5 linked regions of the Bombyx mori genome follow. The protein of the gene in region 4 purifies or fractionates together with the protein of the main gene of each other region. This does not show direct contact. Links are inferred from orthologs where the notes say so. Each region holds a gene or a part of one and is shown on either strand. Other genes may lie near its edges.

Region 1 (4,438 bases), on a different chromosome or scaffold from region 4:
CTTGTATTAGTAGTAATATCCTATAGTAGCCTATCCTTTTTCTGCAATCGTTTTGAAGAGCAAGAAAGAGATTATTTTAATATAATTCAACATCAGGAATAAAGTAGCAGCTTTCACATTGCGTTTATTTTGAGGTGAAAGCTACCACCCGAGGTTTATCAACTACACTATCAATTTTATTATTAAAACAAATTTTACTATTGTTTTAAATTTCTATCCTGTGCTTTGGTAAAAAATATGGAAAATATTCTACACATGAAATATAAAAAAATAATTATTTAATATATAAAATTGTTGTCATAATAAAAGTAATTTGTTTTTTGTTGAATTACATACTAGCAGTTATGAAATGAGATTAATATGCTAAGTCAGTTCAGCTGGTTAAGTTGACTTTTGTTTCAATGAATGAATTGAATTGAATTCAGTTTGCCTATAAAACATTGTTTTAAACTGTATTCATCTTTATTTTTTTATTCAATTATTATAAATAAACAAAATTTATTATTACCGTACAGTGAAAATATAAGTTTTAGTAGTTTCTGACGGTTCTTCTTTTTTACCTTACTTTTGTACAAATTATAGTTTAAGTTTAGAAAAATAAATCAATATTATTTACAAACTATAAATAAATGAAAAGTCTAAAATCAAAAACCCGAATTTCATGTAGCACTATCATGTTAGCAATATAAAATTTTACTGTTGGGTTTTATTATGGTGACTTGTGTAACAACAAATATTGCTTGAGAGTTTTCTAAAGTCTAAAGGTCTTATTGTGATAATTGCTGTAAAAATTTAAAACAACGAAATAGATATTAAATCTCCTAATAAACATTGTGTGAATTCTAAACGGAGTTCATTACTAAGAACCAATTTCAACAAACTCTGGTTGAACTTGATTTAAAAACAATTACCTCGAACTTCAAAGTTCAAACACTTAAAACTATAATATGACTATGATTAAGAGAGTTTATGTTCAGACACGCGACACACTCGACTCGAGTACTATTTTATCTTTATCTATTATTCTCACTATCAGACTTACTGAAGAATACACGATAGTCAGGAGTGTAAGGTGATCCTCTTTCTTCTACGATGTACATCCTTACTTGAGTTTTTAGTGTGGCAGTCGAATTAATTGAACAAGTTACACGTGTCGGTTCTTTAACAGCGCACAATCGTCTTGCTATCGACCGGCAAACCGGAACAGCTGCGGCACAAACGCAACGTGAAAGTGACATTTTAGTCCACTACGGGTTACCAAGGTAAGCTGTAAAAAGAATACGAAATTTGTTACGTAATTTTCGGCAGTGTTAAATTCATTTTAGTAGTTTACAGGACTGTCAAAGTTGTTAAAAGTATCTTTGTGTGGACACACGTATGATTCAGATAAACGTAATCTTAAAAAAACTATAAGCTAGATGTGAAATTTAATATTTTAAAACTAATGAAATTGAAGACGAGAGAAGTTTCAACCAAATATCCTAATGTTAAATTTAGTTTTTACTTAAACTTTTTGAAGTTCATTATTTTTATTCAAAACACCAAACTTGTGCTTTATATGTTCGTGGCAGTATTGCGAGATTTTAATTTTCTTTGTAATTTATATTGCAAATTTTGTGAAGGGTTCTGTTAAAGAGTTTGATAATTCTTTCTTCCCTTTTCTATTAGTGCATCAAATGAATGTAAATGAAAATTATCCCTCATATAAATCTGGTACAATTGATATTTTCAATTTTAACTTGCCCGCGCCATTTTTGTCACAAATACTAGGATCAGACATTTATAGAAACAAAACTTATAGAACAAGCAACAAATATAAGTCCTTAACTATTCGACAATTTTCTGGACTGTGGATCCTTGAATAACGGTCCCTCCCTCCCTTTAAATGCAATGGACCGTGTCCTTATAGGCATTCTTTAATAATCCATAGAAATATAGGATAAAAATTACTAGCTAACGCCATAAACGAATGATATGATAGTGAATGTTTTTAAACATTTCTTTAGTTTATTTTTTTATAGCTTAGATGGGTGGATCAACTCATAGCCCACCTGGTGTTAAGTGGTTACTGGAGTCCATAGATATCTACAACATAAATGCGCCACCCACTTTGAGATATAAGTTCTAAGGTCTCACTACAGTTACAAAGGCTACCTCGCCCTTCAAACCGAAAAGCATTATTGCTTCAATTATAGACGCTTCTTACTTTCCACACAATTTCTGTTATAAACAAACTTTAAGCAAACACGGTGACATGTGTAAAGCATAGGATCGTAATTAAAAGAAATTTGAATAATACTTTTTTCATAGCAACACATGTTAAAACGTCAATCCAAAGAAAAATGTCAACGATTCCAAAACGAGAAAGGCGAAGGTATTACAGTATACTGCCCAATTTTTATAAATGTGCCCAATGTTTTTAATAGTCAAAGTCATGTCTAATAATGAAAAATGTAACAAACTTGAATTAAATGATTGTTAATTATTAATTAATGTAAAATTGATAATGGAATGAAATTAAATATTGTTTCAATAATATGGTGGGAATTTAAGTTAATATTCTGTAAATTCTATCAAATACTTTTGTAGGAAAACGAAAAGTTGTCCAAAGTTTTTCTTTGTTTTCCTGCCTCTACATTTTCACAGATGTTAAAGCGGTTATGAAGACATCATTATAACAAATTTAAATCAGAAGAAATACTAAGCTAACGAAACGAAACAAAACTAAATATGTATACTAATTAACGAACTTTCACAAAAACATAACCTCTCGCGTTTTTGCCTAGTCTTCAAACGTGTTTCACTTTCATATACAACATTTAGTAGATACTAAACATAGTTTACTAAATCCAGAGAAAATTACCACTGGTTTCATTTTCACAGCTGTAGCAAAAGAATAGGGAATATCAAATTTTCATGGTTGCTCAAGTATGAGTTACCTAACTTAGGTTAGCGCCATCTATATAAATTATACAGAACTCAGTTCATTTTTACAATAAACTACAGGACCTACTCAACTAAATAAAGATAAGTATTAAAGCATAATTCTTGGTGCCCACGCATCATAATAATATTATTATGTACCATGAAACGTAAGGTCGTAGTTTGAATTTTTATCGAAATTCAATTGCGATAAAGTAAATAAATTTGTTAAAAAATGATAGCTGGCTCCAATTACCTATTATAGACTGTTCTTTATAATAATTTGTCTTGGTGGTAATAAAATGTGTCTTGGTGTTCGTTTTAAATGCAACGTTATGAACTCGACCCCAACACTTGGTCCTAATTTAATATTGAAACACTAGATGGCGTTATTTTAAAATAAAACTTATTTTGTCTTCAAATCTCGTTTTTACATAGTATTTTCATTTTATTTGTTTCGTCGGTTCGAATACCTACTTTACTGTTTTAGTAGTCACGGACGACACGATGATATTCGTTACGATTATTGTGTTACGGTCTATAATTCTTTAAAAAATATTTCTTAACTTCTACGTTTCACACAGATATAACTAATAGTATCTTGAGTTTTATAATATTGCCCTTCTAGGCAGACGAGTATACGGCTCAACTGAGGATAAGTGGTTATCGTCGCTCGTCAACGTCAACAATGCCAGCGGCCAGGGCCCCGAAATTGTGATACTTTAAGACAAATATTTTTTGTATGGAAACTAGCGACATCTTGTAGCAGATGCCCCTAAGCTTATATGTATATTGTTAAAGTTAAGGCATTTAATTATTGTGTGACTAAACACAGAAAATAAAAAGTTAATACATCATTATTTGTTATAGACAAATTGATTAAATTTTATCAAATTGTGGTTTCTGAAAATTTACAAAATCCTTCATTAGAAATAAAATATACTAGAAACTAATCGAAGCGAAGTCATCCAGTGGCCGACGCCCGTAAACATTTTTGTTGAATGCTTGAGAAAAGGAAATATACTAGAAACTAATCGAAGCGAAGCCATCTAGTGGCCGACGCCTGTAAACATTTTTGTTGAATGCTGAGTTTCTTATCTCTAATTTATGTGTATTATCTACACCAGCGGCAAAGCCAAGCCAAGTCTCTATACGGCTTTTGAAATTCATGTATTCAAACATTTCAGATTCATAACTAAATAACGAAACAGAATATTTACTCAATTAATTTTATTCATTGTAATATAAAGTCCGATTATAGTAATACTCGATCTATTCGTTGTGTAAATAAAATATTAACCCAGTACTTTTCGAGCATTATCAAGCCAATGGGGCCAACTTTCGATTTCTGATTGCAGTACAGCTCCAGGACTTAGCGTGTTTATCAACTGCTGGTGACCAACGACGTGGTAGTCTTCAGTCAATAAGTTATTTTCAACTCCACAGGCTAAAAAGTCTTGGACCGCCTGCAGTGCCTGCTGGGTCGGCAGCTTCTCTGAAACGAGAAAAAATTACT
Region 2 (3,338 bases), on a different chromosome or scaffold from region 4:
TTATCCTATGATGTTATATTGTATTTGAGTCGTCTATTATCAAAGGTGGCAATCTGTGCATTTGGACAAAAAAATGTTATTGATATGTCAATACAGATTGATTTGAATATAATCGTCTCCTTCAAAGAATACGGTTCAAAACCTGCATTAAATAAAGGTTAATACTTAACCTGTTATTTATCTAAGATGTCGTTCAGAAGAGTTTTGTGACTGCCAACAGAATACAAAGTCAATAATTCGTTTTTCTGATTTACCAATAATTGTCCAAAAGTCACATTGCCGGCTTTGATAATAGTCGACTCATTTGATTCATATTTCGTATCATTTAATTCAAATTGGTTGTCATGTCCCACTCTTGACAAAAGCCAAAACAAACTACCAAGTTTCGAGAACTACCACCATAGATAAGCAGGGCATTGAATATTGTATGATATATTGAATGAAAATAATTGGAGGTTTTCACACAAACATAACCATTATTTTAATTTCTCTTGAGACTATTCTAGAATACTGAAAAATAATAGAAAAGCCAGATTCTAACAAAATTTTCTTATAATTACAAGTTTTAAAAGGATGTGTGACCAGATCTAGTAATAATTGTAACATTTACATAACATACATACATACATAACCTAACATTAAGTAATTTTTATGGCAGTAAAAATTAAGTTTAGAAAAATATCAGTAATAAATCAAATAAAATACTTTTAATTTTAGCAAATTGCAAAAACAAATTTTGAGAAGTTCTAAGTTTTAATTGTAGTTAATTTACTGATGTAAAAGTAAGTGGACACAATTCATTTTGGGATGCTTTTGAAGTTTACTTGTTTTTAATAAAAGTTTATTTAATTTTAAAACACTTCATACATTATTACCAACTGATTAATTATTGCGAGGTAACTGTTGTAAATGTTCATGGGAAACTTGTTTCATTTAAACATTTATCACTTTTGTAACACAGGCATGGGTTCTTTGAACTTATTTCATATAGTTTTTCAGCACAGTTTCTGAATATACACCACTAAGCGCCACTATACATTTTAAACTCAAGTCGCAGTAGTATTCAATCGTCTTCTATAATCTCAGCGTCTTCTTGTTCATCTTTTTTCTTCATAGAAGCGGATTTTCGTGCCGAAGCCATGGTCTTGTAATGTTCCAGAGCTTCTCCTAAAGGTTCCACAAATCTATCAAATTCGATGTCTTTCATAGCATCTATCACGTCCTGCCCAGTGAGAGCCTTCCTTTTTTTGTTCTTAACAATATTTGTAGCTGCTGAAGTCACATAAAGTACAAAAACTGAAGCCGCCTTAGCGAGGCCAGTTCGCGCCTCTTTTGATATCGATACGCCACTGGGAAGAGCTTCTTTTACGATTCTAGTTACAACTGTGAGTGGTAAATTCAAATCTTCGAGTTTTTCAGCCATTTTTGTTTATAACGTTCCTATTTATAAAATCTGGAATTAAATGAAAACATTAATTTAACCGCCAGAAGCACTAATGACATTTCTTGACATTGATTGGAGCATACAGTCACAGTTATAGATTATACACAGTTACGAATGTTACGATAGTACTCTCTATGTGTATTATCTATGGATACAAGGGTTAGTAACTGCCGCCTGTCGCCGTGCTACAAAAAGTCTCAAAAATAGGTACTCGGAATACAATGCCTTTTTTTCAAAGTTTTCATAGGTATCGTGGCTTAAACTATATTATTATGCTGTATGAGATACCCGGTGAAGTTACATAAAACGATGGGACAATACCAGCAGTTAGATCCTGCAGTGTAGTAGCCTACCGAATTCACAATTAGTATTTAGCGTTATCACGTGTTTATTTGTTGTTTATTCAACGTTTCTATTATTCTTCAAAATTAAAACCTCAAATCTTATTCACGTTACATGCTATAAAAACATTGCGATCTGTTTTCCAAAAATATTACAAAAATATAGGATTGCGTGATAATTTTAATTCACTGGTGGCAAGAAAGCACGCATTGATGATGACGCATAATGTCCATTTAACGAATGCAGACCAGAAGAGGGCTTGTAGTGCAGCAAAGATCAAGACAATATGAGATAAACTTAAACTGTATGCTTTGGTGGGAAATCGACTTTATCGTCTAATTAACTCAAAATATTTAGCAGTCACCATTATCCAAAATAATTCACGGTCAAAAAATAAATTACTCAAAAGTATGTAAAAGTTTATTTTCGCTATTATTTTTTGGTTAAATTATTATAATCTGATAATCTGTTATTTTAATCAGCCATTTAATTCGCTTGAAACCTTGTTGATTGTTGATAAAAATAAAAAGCAATGGTTCGAACACTCGTGTTGTTTGTAGAATTATTTGATTTGCACGATGTCGATATAATGAGAAACGAACGAAATTACTTGCTCATTTCTGCCACAAAGCATTATTGCATTCCGGTTTGAAGGGAGGAACAGCAATAAAAATTTCATCTTTAAAAAATAACATGGCCTTCAGTTCACAAAAGCTTCGCGTTCGTTATCATGTTACCCGTAAACAGCTGATTTACGAGTGACCAGTGTGCTTAAAAACATTATTTAGAAAATATAATAAAATATATCAGTAGGCTTACCATAGATTTACTAGGCATACATTGACTACCATGAAAGCGTATATTAGCGTATCAAAGGACACGTTGTCCGTGTTAGTTCGTTTTTAAAACATAATAGGTATCTACTTTTTAGATAGAAATTGACAACTGAATCAACTAAACAGGTCAATGACCTAGTTTTACAGAAATCGATGAAAAATTAAAAATGAATGACGTGAATACATATAAAAGGGAAGGTCAATTGTTGAATTTACTAAGTACGTAATAAAATTGAAATAAAATTTATAAATACATTTTTATTGAGTTAGGTACGCTTGGAGGTATTGCGCAAACTCGTGGTGCAATGTTGATGCCAGTGTTGTTTTGACAATAGTGATGTCCAAATGAACAAAAACGCGATAGCGTGTTATATTCTCTATTTTTTTAAGCTATTATGTTTTTTGTTACTAATAAGTTTTATAGAGATTCGGTGACTGTTAATTTGAAACTTTATGCTAAACAGATAGCTTTTTCATTTCCTAGTACCTGTGTCTCAAAAAATGTGAAAAAGGTTTTTACAACAATTCTACGACATGTGCACTGATTTTGTCTAACTTTGTTTTTCGGTCAATACCGCTATGCACATAATATACTGCGATACTGTGTTACTATTCCAAGCGTCTTAATGTAGTCTTATTAATAAAATATAACGCGTTATTTTATAACGCTAAGCGTCCCTATCCTGACACTATTCAAGTTATATTATTATGATAAG
Region 3 (4,572 bases), on a different chromosome or scaffold from region 4:
GTTTAAATTCTTTTATTTCTGTTCTGTGTTTGTTCACCCAACTTAGTCAGGAAATACTTTTAATGACTGTTTACAAATATAAATAATACCATACTGTTGCAATAAAACAACTTGCACATTCCGCATAAAAACATTGGATTTCTTTTTTTAAATATCTTTACATGTAAGCTTCGATAGACTTTGTGTGGCCATGGGTAATGCATTGCTACCTACAATGCTTATAAAAAACAAAAACAAAAATAATAAAAAAAATAGTAGTTATAAAAATCCCACTCACATGAAATGTTTACAATTCATTCTATATTTAATCTACATCTACAAAACTCGCACTAAGCACAGATCAAATGCAATTATGAGTCCAGATGGCCTCAATTGTCACATGAAGTTGGAGTTTCAATCACTTGTATGGTTGAAACTCCAACTTCATGTGACAATTGAGGCCGTCAGCGCAAAAGTGGCCAAAGCTTACCATAGTTATTATGGAGCAGAGATATTTAAATTTTCACGAGTTTAAATTTGAGTACGCAAAAAACAATAGGGGCAAAAATAATGTTTACAGTCATCTATTACCTATGGGTGAAACTATGAATATGCCAGTTTTGCATCAAAATTTATTATATTTTAAATAGATTGCAATATACATAATTATAAACATGATTATGAAAAATTGTGGGTTAGGCCACTTTTGCGTTGACGGCCTCAATTATACTCCTGTATGCCTTAGATATTGTGAGAAACATACTTCAGTGCTCTTAATTATAGTTGAAATTATTTGATAAAAGTGTCACACAACAAATAGTTTGAGATGGTCCATGAAATGACAATTACTTTTAGATTACACCAGATCAAAGTTTTAGCAATATAATTTATAAACTTTCTGTTATTTATTTCACTTTAATATTTGAAAAACTTAAAGTAATCATAAGTAATACAAATTTTAATTGCATAACATTTTGATTAACAAACAACATGCAAAGGCAGAATTCTATCATTTAATGACACAATCATCAATTTAATGACACAATTAAATGATACTTGACGAGCACAATATTTGTAAATGTTATTACATTTCATGAAAGAAAAGAAACCAATTTGTAAAATTAAGTTAATAAAAATAACCCAACGCCAGAATAGGCTTATTGGCACAGATTAGGAGACACTCAACATTTGTTTCTGTTTAAATTCTTCACTTTTCTTCAGTCTGTGAATTTGTCCCTTAGTGTTTGTAGTTCCTGAAATTATAACATTTGAAGATTAAAATCACGATCATCTAGTTTGCTAAATTATTTAAAACATTGTGCATCCACTAACAGGCCACTATTGGTGTATTGGGAATGTTGTTATGTTTTAAAATAAATAAATAAGATTTAGTCTGTAACATTCGAAAAATCACTGCCAGGGTTGATGAGTTAGACTTCTACATCAAGTAATTCCAGTGTAGTTATTTACTTTTTTAGGATCTTTACATGTAATTTTTTTCTTAAATATATTTGAGAAAAGTATTTATGACTACACGCATTTTAAAACTAAATTAGTGTATTAGTCCTTAAATTAAATTATTTATTAAAATTTAGTAAAAATTTAGTAAATTAAATTATTCTAACTTACAGCTTATCACTCTTGTTCATTGTTACTGGATGAGTCTTCACTGCTGTCTTCACTGGAGTCTTCACTTGAATCATCACCGTTCTTGGCAGCTTTCTTGGCCATCATCTCTTTGAATTGACGCACAGTGATCTTTCGAGGCATGATCTCTCTGAGAAAGTCTAAAGTGTCATCCTCTTGAACAATATCAGCAATATGTTTGTATTCTAGGAAGTTGGCATTACTGTTTTTGTGTGCCCTCTTTGCTAGATCCATTACAAACAATTCCTGGAAATTAGTGTGATTATAATCTTTATCGGAGTCCATAGCTATCACAATGTGATTGTCACCACTCTAAGAACCTACGAAATAAGATCTAAGTCTCAGTTGTACTATAAAATACTGTCCAGACTATTCAAAATAGAATATCATCAATCATTGGAGTAATTGGTGTAATAAAAATCAAACTCATAAAATTTTAAAAAATTGCATAAAACTAGTCATTACGGTAGGGCGCACATCGGTATTTCGGCTGCGAAGCAGTAATGATTTTCGGTTTGAGGGGCGAGGCAGCTGTTACACTATACAATTGAAACCTCATGTCTCATGTTGGGTAGAGACATTCACACAGTGATGAGGTCTATAGGCTCCAGTAACTACTTAACACCAGGTGGGTCGTGAGCACGTTCAACCGTCGAAGTAATAAATAAAAAAAAATCGCCTTGGGAAGTTTAGGTTAGTTTAACTTAGGTTAACCTCTAGAAAACTCACTGTAACTTTAGTGACTAAATATAGTGGTTCTGGACCAACTGCTTCTACGTCCGGTGAGCTTTTCATTATTGTTTTAACCCTGGACAGGGGCAAATGCAGATCTTTTTCACTTTTTGGGGTAGCCATCGTTTTAGTCGAAAGGAAATACAAACTAACTAGAAATATTTTATAGGTGAACTATTAAAAATTCATTTCAAATAGATTATTTAAAACAGACCGCGAATCTCTAAGCATTTTAAACTGAAGTCAAAACTAAACGTCAAAATCAAAAACTTTGTTTTGTTTCATTTGTAAATCGGAAAGGCATGCGGAACATTGCTCATTAAATATTTTAATTTTCTGTAAGATTTGTTGGGTCCAAAGTGAGTGAGCGTGAATTTCCGCAGATCTTTTATCTTGAAAAAAAAAACAGTCACTGCTATGTTAGCCACAGTTTTATTCCAATTCCTCAATAATCGTGAACAACGATTATTGACGTCTAATACACAAAACAACACCCAATTTATATATTATACATCACAATAAACTATTAAAAAACATTAAAATAAAACTTCAAGTGACGCTTCACTCGGGTTGCCGCCAAAACTCTCTGATCATATTATTTAATAAGAATAGAGTAATGGTAGGCCATTGAGATTTTTACTAATGGAATCATTAATATCTAAAAATAATTATATAAAGTAATAATTATTATTACAATATATAAAAATTGAATTGAACAAAAATAAACTAAAAAAGTCTGTGAATTATAACCATTAGCTATTTTTTTTAATTTGTTGTTCAAGTCACAGACAACTCTTTCGTTTGGCAGCATATAGGTTTACTATAAGGCTGTATGGGCTAAGCCCTTTGCCTATTGGCGAATTTAAAAACTGTGCCATACTCAGTTTTGGAGATGAATGAAGTTAGCCCCTCAAAAAAATTTTTTTTTCCTATTTTCTACTTATTTTCTATTAATTCGTTTGTTCATCATTTGTTCATGATTGTTCACTGTTAATAATTGTTTGTTCTGCAGTTATTTATTTAAAAAAAATATTTAAAAATATACCTACAAGTTAGCCCCTCTAATGCAATTTTTAATATTTTTTCATCCTTAATGACTCGTAAATATTTATTTTCGATTGTTCTTATATAAAACACGTTTGTTATCTTTCGAAATTACTCGTTTTTTGTTTAATTTACTATTTTTATTAGTTGAATAAATGTATGCAAAATATGTGTACTGCGCATGCGTCAACTATAATGCCTAAACTTTCTACGTGGTTTTAATGGTGAAAAAGAAAACAAATATAAATCCTGAAGGAGCAATTAATTGGTATACAGTTTAATTAAAAAAATTAAAAATTAAATAAATGAAATAATGTGCATTGGCGTTAAGTTAGACCAAATACATTTTTTCCATCCTCTTACCTATCGTATTAAAATGTTATTTTACTAATGTTAGGAATATAATTTCGACTGTGTAAAAAAGTTATTATAATGTATACCTATATTATCTCTTGAAAGATAAATAATGAACATATTTACTTATTTGTTTATATTACCTATGTGAACTCCCTATCTTTTTTATACCTTCATAACGATAAGTAGGAGGATGGAAAAAATGTATTTGCTCTAACTTAACGCCAATGCACATTATTTCATTTATTTATTTTTTAATTTTTTTAATTAAACTGTATACCAATTAATTGCTCCTTCAGGATTTATATTTGTTTTTTTTTTCACGATTAAAACCGCGTAGAAAGTTTAGGCATTATAGTTGACGCATGCGCAGTACACATATTTTGCATACATTTATTCAACTAATAAAAATAGTAAATTAAACAAAAAACGAGTAATTTCGAAAGAGAACAAACGTGTTTTATATAAGAACAATCGAAAATGAATATTTACGAGTTATTAAGGATGAAAAAATATTAAAAATTGCATTAGAGGGGCTAACTTGTAGGTATATTTTTAAATATTTTTTTTAAATAAATAACTGCAGAACAAACAATTATTAACAGTGAACAATCATGAACAAATGATGAACAAACGAATTAATAGAAAATAAGTATAAAATAGGAAAAAAAGAAATTTTTGAGGGGCTAACTTCATTCACCTCAGTTTTGGGGTGTTATCAAATAAGTATTTTTTTTTTTTGTAAAACAATGCCAGGGTGAAAGAAATGTTGATACATAAACTAAAACACGTGAAAAAATAAGGCATAGTTTTTCA
Region 4 (3,874 bases):
TTATGAAAACTACTTTTTTAAAGTAATTTTTTTTATATGGACTTTTACTTAAATGTCTATCCATTAGGAATATTTTGATTCTTTGTTTTTGGTTTATCTACATTCCTATTCTTCGGATTCTTGTCCAATGCAATTCACAAAATTAAAATAGAAGAGTCTTTTACAAAACAGACGAGATATTCATAATCTACTATGTAAGCTAAATATTTATATAAGGCATACATAAATACCAGTATAAAGAGCTAATCAAAATACTGTTACATAAATGATTAAATGAATACCAATACCAACAATCGCCAATAGGAGGACTCCTGAGGAATCCGATTTAGCTCTTTACACTTATTTACCTGTACCTTTGGCGCCTTCGGTTCAGATACACGTAGAGCCTCTCTGAAGTAGGCGTCCACGGCATAATTAGCTTTACGTTCGCGCTTAGGCGGCTCTATCCAACTACCCATTGGGATAACTTTTTGCTTCTCTCTGTAATCCTCGCCTAAACGGGCATAATAATATTATTAACACTGTGAGTATAAAATAATAGATTTTTGAATACTTTACCAAATTATCAGTTCAAAACTGAAGTGAAATTCACTTTATCAAATAGTTTTGAGGACAACCTTCAAATTGATAAACTGAGTCGGTGGTCGCGCCAGGAGTGTCCATTGAAAATGCTCGCAAGGACGACTCGCCCAGGCTCTCCAATTTCTGCTTCAACTCCTCAGTCTATAATAGTATATTAAAAAAAAAACTAGTTTAACACATGTTGTCAAGCAAGTGGTTGTATTACAAAGCTTTTTTTTCCTACTATATTATATTACAATACCTTGCTCTCTCCTTTAGCTAAAATCGTATCGATGTCCTCATCAGTAACCTCAGAATCCTTAGACGCAAAGACGTGGTTGGCACCATGTCTGATCATGTTGAGCATCTCATCTTTGTTCAGCTGGTTCTTAGTGTCGACCAGTCTACCGGACTGAATTACAAGTTTGTCCAGGCGCAATTTCACTTCCGCACGTTCTACAATCTTTTCTTCAACCGTGTTGTCTGTTATCAAACGGAACACTCTGACCTATGAAACATTTAGATTAATAAATTATTTTACAAATTTCACTAATAGTTAATCTTACCGGTGTGCAAAAGTTGTAAAATTATATCTGCCAAAACATATTTAAGTTAAACCCACCTGCTTTTTCTGACCAATACGGTGAGCTCTATCCATGGCCTGCAGATCCATTTGAGGATTCCAATCAGAGTCATAAATAATAACAACATCAGCTGATGTTAAGTTAATACCAAGACCACCAGCTCGTGTAGATAACATAAAAACAAATTTCTCACTCCCCTCCATATTATACTCTTCTATTTGTCGATTTCTATCTTCATGTGGTGTTTGACCATCTAGACGGCAATACTATAAAAAAAATTACAATATTGCATAGCTTTAAGTTATATGCTATGCATTTATTTTTATGAAGAGTTAATTTACAGCATTGTCTGTGGATGCAGTATTTACATTTAAAGGCAGCTAAATAAAGATTAAAAGCTAGCAAAAAAAATTTTTCAAATCATGCTTAATATTACCTTATATTGCCTCCAAAGGCAATAATCTTCTAAGATGTCCAGCATCCTAGTCATTTGTGAGAAAATAAGTACTCTCGACTCTTGCTCCTGAAGCTTAGGTAAAAGCTTATCCAGTATAGTAAGTTTACCACAGTTATATACTAAATGTTCATCAGTTGTGTACGGTGGACCCGGCTCAGCGCCATCAAATAAATAAGGATGGTTACAACATTTGCGTAGCTGCATAAGAATGTTCTGGAGTCGCATTTTTTCAACCTTTCCAGCACCATTTACTATAGGTAATAAAATTATTACAAATTGGTAATTAATTTATTAATAAGCAAATAAACTTAAGACAACAGGTGTAGATGTATCTTGCCCTTACTCAACATCACCCAAGTATCTCGGACACCGAATGCAAAATCTTAGCCATGAAACGTCACAGTTCATATCAAAGACATGTCGAAACAAAAGATCTAAAGCTGGAGAGTTATCTATTATTCTTATACGTATTATTTATTAATTAGCTGTAAAGAGAAAAGAAACCAATGGAACAAAAGAACCTCAGACCAGTTGTGTAAGGTTAAAGTCACTGTAATGCTTTCCAAGCTCCTTTAGAAGATAGCACTTGTAGAAAAAATTAGTTATATTTACTTTATTCTCAGTTAATCTATGATTATAGTAAATTATAGTAAATTTCCAAAGTAAGTTAAATATGACTAATTTAAGTAATAAACTTTTCATTTCATATCTTGGACAATATAGTGCAAAGGCATATAGCAGATGCTTTCCTAGTTACCTCAAGACTATGGATATATTAACTACCTATTGTTTTATTGTGACTTCTTAACCGTTTGACAGGTGAAACCCATTTCTAGAAAACATATTACCTATGTTTAGGGAAACATTTAAGGCATTGTTATTCGGCATAATGAACATATTCTGACTTACCTACATCAATATCCTTCATAAGAACCTTAGTATACCACTCTCTTTGCATTTTACTCAAACCCACATAAACTTTTAATTCCTTTTTAGGCTTTAATTTTTTCTCAACCTCAGATTTGAGTCTCCGAAGCAAAAATGGTCTTAGTACAGCATGTAAACGTGAAACCAATTGGTTATCACCTAGGGCTGCATTTGTATTAAACCATGAGTCAAAGTCCTAGAATATCAGAAAAAAAAACATTGAATGTTAAAAAGGTTAATGAAAATAATATTTAATTAAAATAGTATTCATTAATTTTGCATTTTTTCCATTGTGCATTTCCTTGTATTATTACTCACATCAGAACTATTAAAAACATCAGGCAGAAGGAAATTCAATAGTGCCCACAACTCATGGAGATTATTTTGCAAGGGAGTACCAGTTAACAGCAACCTGTTCATACTCTTAAATTCCCTAAGCAGCTCCGATAATTTAGATTTTTCATTCTTGATACGGTGAGCCTCATCAATCACCATATAACGCCAGTTAAACTTTTTAAAGACAGATTTCTCTCTTATAATCATTTCATATGATGTAATGCAAACATCCCAGTTTCCAGGCATCAAGGTTTCTCGGATAAATGTATTCTGAAACATATTTATTTATTAATCCATTTTCCTACCATACTTTTAATTTGTATCTAGTCTAAAGTGATGTCTATTTTATATTTGTTTTAAGAAAACTAGTCTAGGTTAAGCTTTGCACACAAGTTTTTTGCATAATATATATATATATATTTTTAGCATACATATTTTTTTTGTAGAACAAGTACCAAAAAAAACATATAATAGTGCAATACAATATAATCAGAAAAATGAAGTCTAAAAATAATAATGTACAATGTTTTTTTTCAATTCTATACAAGGTTTTATATTGCTCTATAATGGCTGTTAACGGTTTCTCTTCTTTCTGTGTAATGTGGAATATTAATGATATACAGACTTTTCAAAAGGACTATTTATGTACTTAGTCAAATTTTGCTATTCTAATCACTTTATTTGCCTTTGGTAATATTCTACTAATATCTTGTATTATGATATATTAAAATTTTGCTATAAATATTAAATGGCAATGAACATTATACATACCCTTGTTTCTTGATCACCAATAAGACACACAGCTTTTAGTGAAGGGCACCACTTTTTAAATTCGTTCATCCAATTTGTCAAAGTGGATTTTGGTACAATTACTATGTGAGGACCAGGAACGTTTCTGAAATTTTTTTTAATACTTATTTAGACATTCACGACATATCTTTTCCAGTGTCTTTATTTAAAGTATAAACAAACAACACTGTTACAACACACCCACTGTTAAAACCAAATT
Region 5 (3,874 bases), on a different chromosome or scaffold from region 4:
TTAATTCATAAAACACAAGTTTCGTTAAAATCAAGGAATTTGAGAAATCTATAACATGACATGATCCTATTGTTTTTGTGTGAACAACCTACTACATAGTGTCGGCGATGTTCTTTTTTGTATAAAAACAGGTGTGCTTCTAAACTTTTGGACGGTAGTGTAGTTTGTCTAGATTTAATATAAACTTAAAGTATGAGCTAGCTGACTGATTTTGTTGTTTTATAAAAAACTGCAGAAAATAGAATCACCCAAAGGTAAATTAAAATCAGCATTTTAATTTGTTTTTACAAGAACTCTGGCAACATCTTGCTTATGTTGTACAAATTAAAACTTAATTACTTTGTGGAAATATAAGGATAAGACATCCCCTCAAAATTCACAACAAAATTAGTAGTTTTTTTAAATTGTGAAATTTATATACTTTATTGACGAAATATTGTTAAAAACAAAAATCCGGAGTTAAAAATGCATTCCATTATAAATAAATTCAATACCAGTCAACTACCCTACTTTTTATAATTTCGAAACGACATTACAAAGTACCTACCGATATCAAATTGAGCAAGACCATCGATAATCATGTATACAGCATGCCTGGATGTCCTTTACGTTCGAAAACACAGTTACTATTTTAAATTGTAGGTTTTATTGACGTAGCATTAACGATAGTTTTGCTTCAAATTTTATTACAATTTCCATGTTTCCATGTGTTGACACGGCTTTAAATTCGGATGGCTTATTTGTTTTTTTTTAAACTGCCTAGATAACTTTGAACGGATCAGAATTTCTTCTACGTTCACATGCAATACAAGTTGCAAACTAAATCCAATATTAACAATAGTTTCTTCAGTACTGAAAATAATTAACATGCTGTTCATGTTATTATTTTACATATTAAATATAGTGTTAAATCCATATTCTACTATTTGTTCATAGATTTACTGATGGCCTCGTTTTCTTCACGTATTACGAATTAATAAAAAGTAAAATAATATATGTATCTAAAATGTAATTAAATTGTTCTGCCATTATACTTTACAAAGTCGTTCTATTTTTTACCTAAAACGAGAGATCATCGGTAAAACTTCTCGTAAGTAGCTGTAAAGATTACAATATTTATTCAATTTCTGTCAAATCATGATGTCTTTAAGAGTCTTGAAAATTTAATACACAGTCATATGAAACAGCTGTGTTGTAAAAGCCCACCGAAAATGTTCCTGAAGACGTATGAATCATCAGATTTTAAATAGTCAAATAATAAAAATATGGAAGTTTTTTTTCTGTAAATCTTATGTCCATAAGCGGGCTGATGATTCAATGAAAATATTCGTATCGAGAATTGCTCATACACCACTTTTCATGTTTTAACATTTAAGAACAAGTATTGAATTAATTTAATGAACACATTTTAATAAAGCATTGAAACATATAAGTCACTGTCTTTTATTTGATAGAAACCTTTTATTATTTTTTTACTTTTTTAGTTTTCATTTTATGTGCAAACGTTTTGTGGGGGTGTATGGGCAATTCATTAACATTTATCTAATGAAAATTCTTACACAAAATCAGATTAAATTCAATATCAATTGTTAAATTTAAGTTATGTTTGTTAAATATATTCCCACAAACGTGAGACAATGTATTTTTATTTATTTCGTATTGCTGTTAAATTATTTTTAATTCTTTTAGTGTAACGCATAAAAATCATTAGACTGGTGTAATTCTACTTTTAGGAAAATAATGATCCAAAACGACAGGCGCTTTTGAATGGCGAAGACAATGTAGCCGATGCTGCCGTTCACAAAGAAGCGACTCCATTTAAACAGGAAGATATTAAAGAGAATAGCACTAAAACTGACTTAGTTAATGCTAACCAAGATCGTTTGCAAAGTAACAAATTCGTCCTCACACCTGACTACATTCAACAAAGTAAGTTCAAATATTTCTAACTTAACTTCGTGAAATGAGTGTATTTAATAAACAGCTATTTAATCGACAATTAAATTTCCTATAAAAATTCCGTGATTTTCGTGTCAACTGATAATTTTAATAGTCCTACAAATATTAAACATGAATATAGTTAATCAACGAAAATACGTCAACAAACGGCGTCAACATTCATTGAAGTGCTTGACTTATTTATCTATCAACGGTCGCGTTGCGAGAAAGCGTCAAATAATTCTTTACTCAGTGCTCACGAGGAATTTAAAGGCTTATATTAAAGGACTTTCATGCCTCGATTTAACTTATACCTCCTATAAATATTTTAAACTATTTAACTAAGCGTTTTCAGTTGCACAGCACTCTTAGCACGCGAAGAAAAAGCTATAATAAAGCTATATTATAATTATTATAATGGGCCGCTAGACGTAACCATAGCGAGATTCAGGAAACCTACCTTATCTATAATATTCTATTATATAATATTCTATAGGAAACCTACTTTATCTATTGAGTGTTGATGAAATTTTATTTGGTGCAAACTGAAGACCCCGTTGTTATCTTATAAGGAAAGAGTCAATTTGGGATTCAATGAGATTTGCAGTTTCGAGCTTATTCAACAAAGCCGTAAGCTCTGTTCAAATTTTTATTACATCTGTGACATCCGTCATTGGTGATATTAGAAAAATTTGTAGTTTTACTATTTGCATCAGTCCGTCCGCAAGTTAATCAGGATTTTTCTGATTAAACGAAATGTGTTTCAACTACATGTGTAGTAATGCTTGCCTGGCGGACATAATAATATATTTCAAACAATTTCACTGAATTACCAAATTTTAATATATATATCGACGCTTGAAAGGCAAACGTGACTAAGCGACAATAACTGCTTTGTACATAAATGATAGGCAATAACCATATTCGATGCGCAAAAAAAAATTATTTCTAGATCTATTAAAATCATTTCAATCCTACAGCTAGATTCGTTATAGAATTTTTTATCAGGTATTTGTCAGGTATATGTTAAATTAATTTCAACTTTATATTAGTCTACTGTAAATTTCACGCACTGTCGCTTAGTCACGTTTGCCTTTCAAGCGTCGATATATATATTCAGTCCCAACTCAATTGGATAAAAAACGCGCCAGCGATAAACCACGTAGCAACAACAACAACGCTCAAACCGCCAACCTATAAAGATCATATTTTAATAGGATGATGACATTAATAACTTCTGCCATATTTTTTTTTACCCATAAAATGTTGTTAAAATGGGGGGACACAACTATTTTATTGATTTGAGTGGATATGACTAAGGGGTAAATTTTTTACCTTGAAGTAACTTTAAATTTCAAGTCATGTCCCAATTGAGAATCTGACCTCATGTCTCAAGCTGAGTTACGGCATTCACATCGTTATATCTATGGGCTCCGGTAATTAACTCCAGCTGGAACGTGGAGTTGTTCACCCGATCATTCAAGATAATTGAATACCTCTTGATCCAAATAAACAAGGTCAATGTTATGTCATTCCATATTGTATAATAATATGATTTTAAAGTTGATATAGCTGAAGTCAAACTTTTTCTATAATCTATTGTATGTGTATATTAATCAAAGAGTGAAATAAATCGTTCGGTTTTGAATTTCGGCTGATAAGAACTTCATTACGGGTGTCGACAGTTCGAGACAAAATGTACAACTACCATAGACCATACACTAATACCCAACGATTAGCTAGGTTGTTATGATCGTTATATACATTATTTTAATTTCTAACAATACAATACACAATGTGTCATTCTGTATGTTTGTGTGCGTGCGTGTATGTATGCTTTGGAGTACATAAGTTTATTATGTTATATTTCCTTTTACACCGTGATTGACATTTTTATATCATGATTGACATCCAGTCTGAGGTCGAGGTATCAATT

The links.
Region 1: the proteins of chromatin-remodeling complex ATPase chain Iswi (region 4) and uncharacterized protein LOC101741235 fractionate together in Drosophila melanogaster (co-fractionation; 4 studies listed by BioGRID, with this or other methods). This does not show direct contact. The link is inferred for Bombyx mori from reciprocal best matches to the Drosophila melanogaster genes Iswi and Nurf-38.
Region 2: the proteins of chromatin-remodeling complex ATPase chain Iswi (region 4) and DNA polymerase epsilon subunit 3 fractionate together in Drosophila melanogaster (co-fractionation; 4 studies listed by BioGRID, with this or other methods). This does not show direct contact. The link is inferred for Bombyx mori from reciprocal best matches to the Drosophila melanogaster genes Iswi and Chrac-14.
Region 3: the proteins of chromatin-remodeling complex ATPase chain Iswi (region 4) and chromatin accessibility complex 16kD protein fractionate together in Drosophila melanogaster (co-fractionation; 4 studies listed by BioGRID, with this or other methods). This does not show direct contact. The link is inferred for Bombyx mori from reciprocal best matches to the Drosophila melanogaster genes Iswi and Chrac-16.
Region 5: the proteins of chromatin-remodeling complex ATPase chain Iswi (region 4) and nucleosome-remodeling factor subunit NURF301 purify together in Drosophila melanogaster (affinity purification with western blotting; 7 studies listed by BioGRID, with this or other methods). This does not show direct contact. The link is inferred for Bombyx mori from reciprocal best matches to the Drosophila melanogaster genes Iswi and E(bx).

The regions. Positions count from the first base shown.
Region 1 is NC_085115.1:3,630,367-3,634,804, forward strand, and holds the start of uncharacterized protein LOC101741235, read right to left. Parts: upstream 2,804-4,438; 5' UTR 2,768-2,803; intron 1,404-2,767; exon of another isoform or gene 1,268-1,403; 5' UTR 1,239-1,267; coding exon 1,043-1,238; intron 1-1,042. UniProt on the Drosophila melanogaster protein: Component of NURF (nucleosome remodeling factor), a complex which catalyzes ATP-dependent nucleosome sliding and facilitates transcription of chromatin.
Region 2 is NC_085130.1:7,455,890-7,459,227, forward strand, and holds DNA polymerase epsilon subunit 3, read right to left. Parts: upstream 1,549-3,338; 5' UTR 1,424-1,548; coding exon 1,064-1,423; 3' UTR 535-1,063; downstream 1-534. UniProt on the Drosophila melanogaster protein: Accessory component of the DNA polymerase epsilon complex. Participates in DNA repair and in chromosomal DNA replication. Histone-like protein which promotes nucleosome sliding of ATP-dependent nucleosome remodeling complexes.
Region 3 is NC_085111.1:17,749,246-17,753,817, forward strand, and holds the start of chromatin accessibility complex 16kD protein, read right to left. Parts: upstream 3,070-4,572; 5' UTR 2,482-3,069; coding exon 2,356-2,481; intron 1,873-2,355; coding exon 1,615-1,872; 3' UTR 1,609-1,614; intron 1,233-1,608; 3' UTR 1-1,232. UniProt on the Drosophila melanogaster protein: Histone-like protein which promotes nucleosome sliding of ATP-dependent nucleosome remodeling complexes. Part of the chromatin-accessibility complex (CHRAC) which uses energy/ATP to increase the general accessibility of DNA in chromatin.
Region 4 is NC_085119.1:7,661,993-7,665,866, reverse strand, and holds part of chromatin-remodeling complex ATPase chain Iswi, read right to left. Parts: intron 3,761-3,874; coding exon 3,637-3,760; intron 3,136-3,636; coding exon 2,848-3,135; intron 2,726-2,847; coding exon 2,512-2,725; intron 1,854-2,511; coding exon 1,582-1,853; intron 1,412-1,581; coding exon 1,184-1,411; intron 1,070-1,183; coding exon 824-1,069; intron 724-823; coding exon 618-723; intron 494-617; coding exon 348-493; intron 1-347.
Region 5 is NC_085116.1:8,917,689-8,921,562, reverse strand, and holds part of nucleosome-remodeling factor subunit NURF301, read left to right. Parts: intron 1-1,733; coding exon 1,734-1,929; intron 1,930-3,874. UniProt on the Drosophila melanogaster protein: Histone-binding component of NURF (nucleosome remodeling factor), a complex which catalyzes ATP-dependent nucleosome sliding and facilitates transcription of chromatin.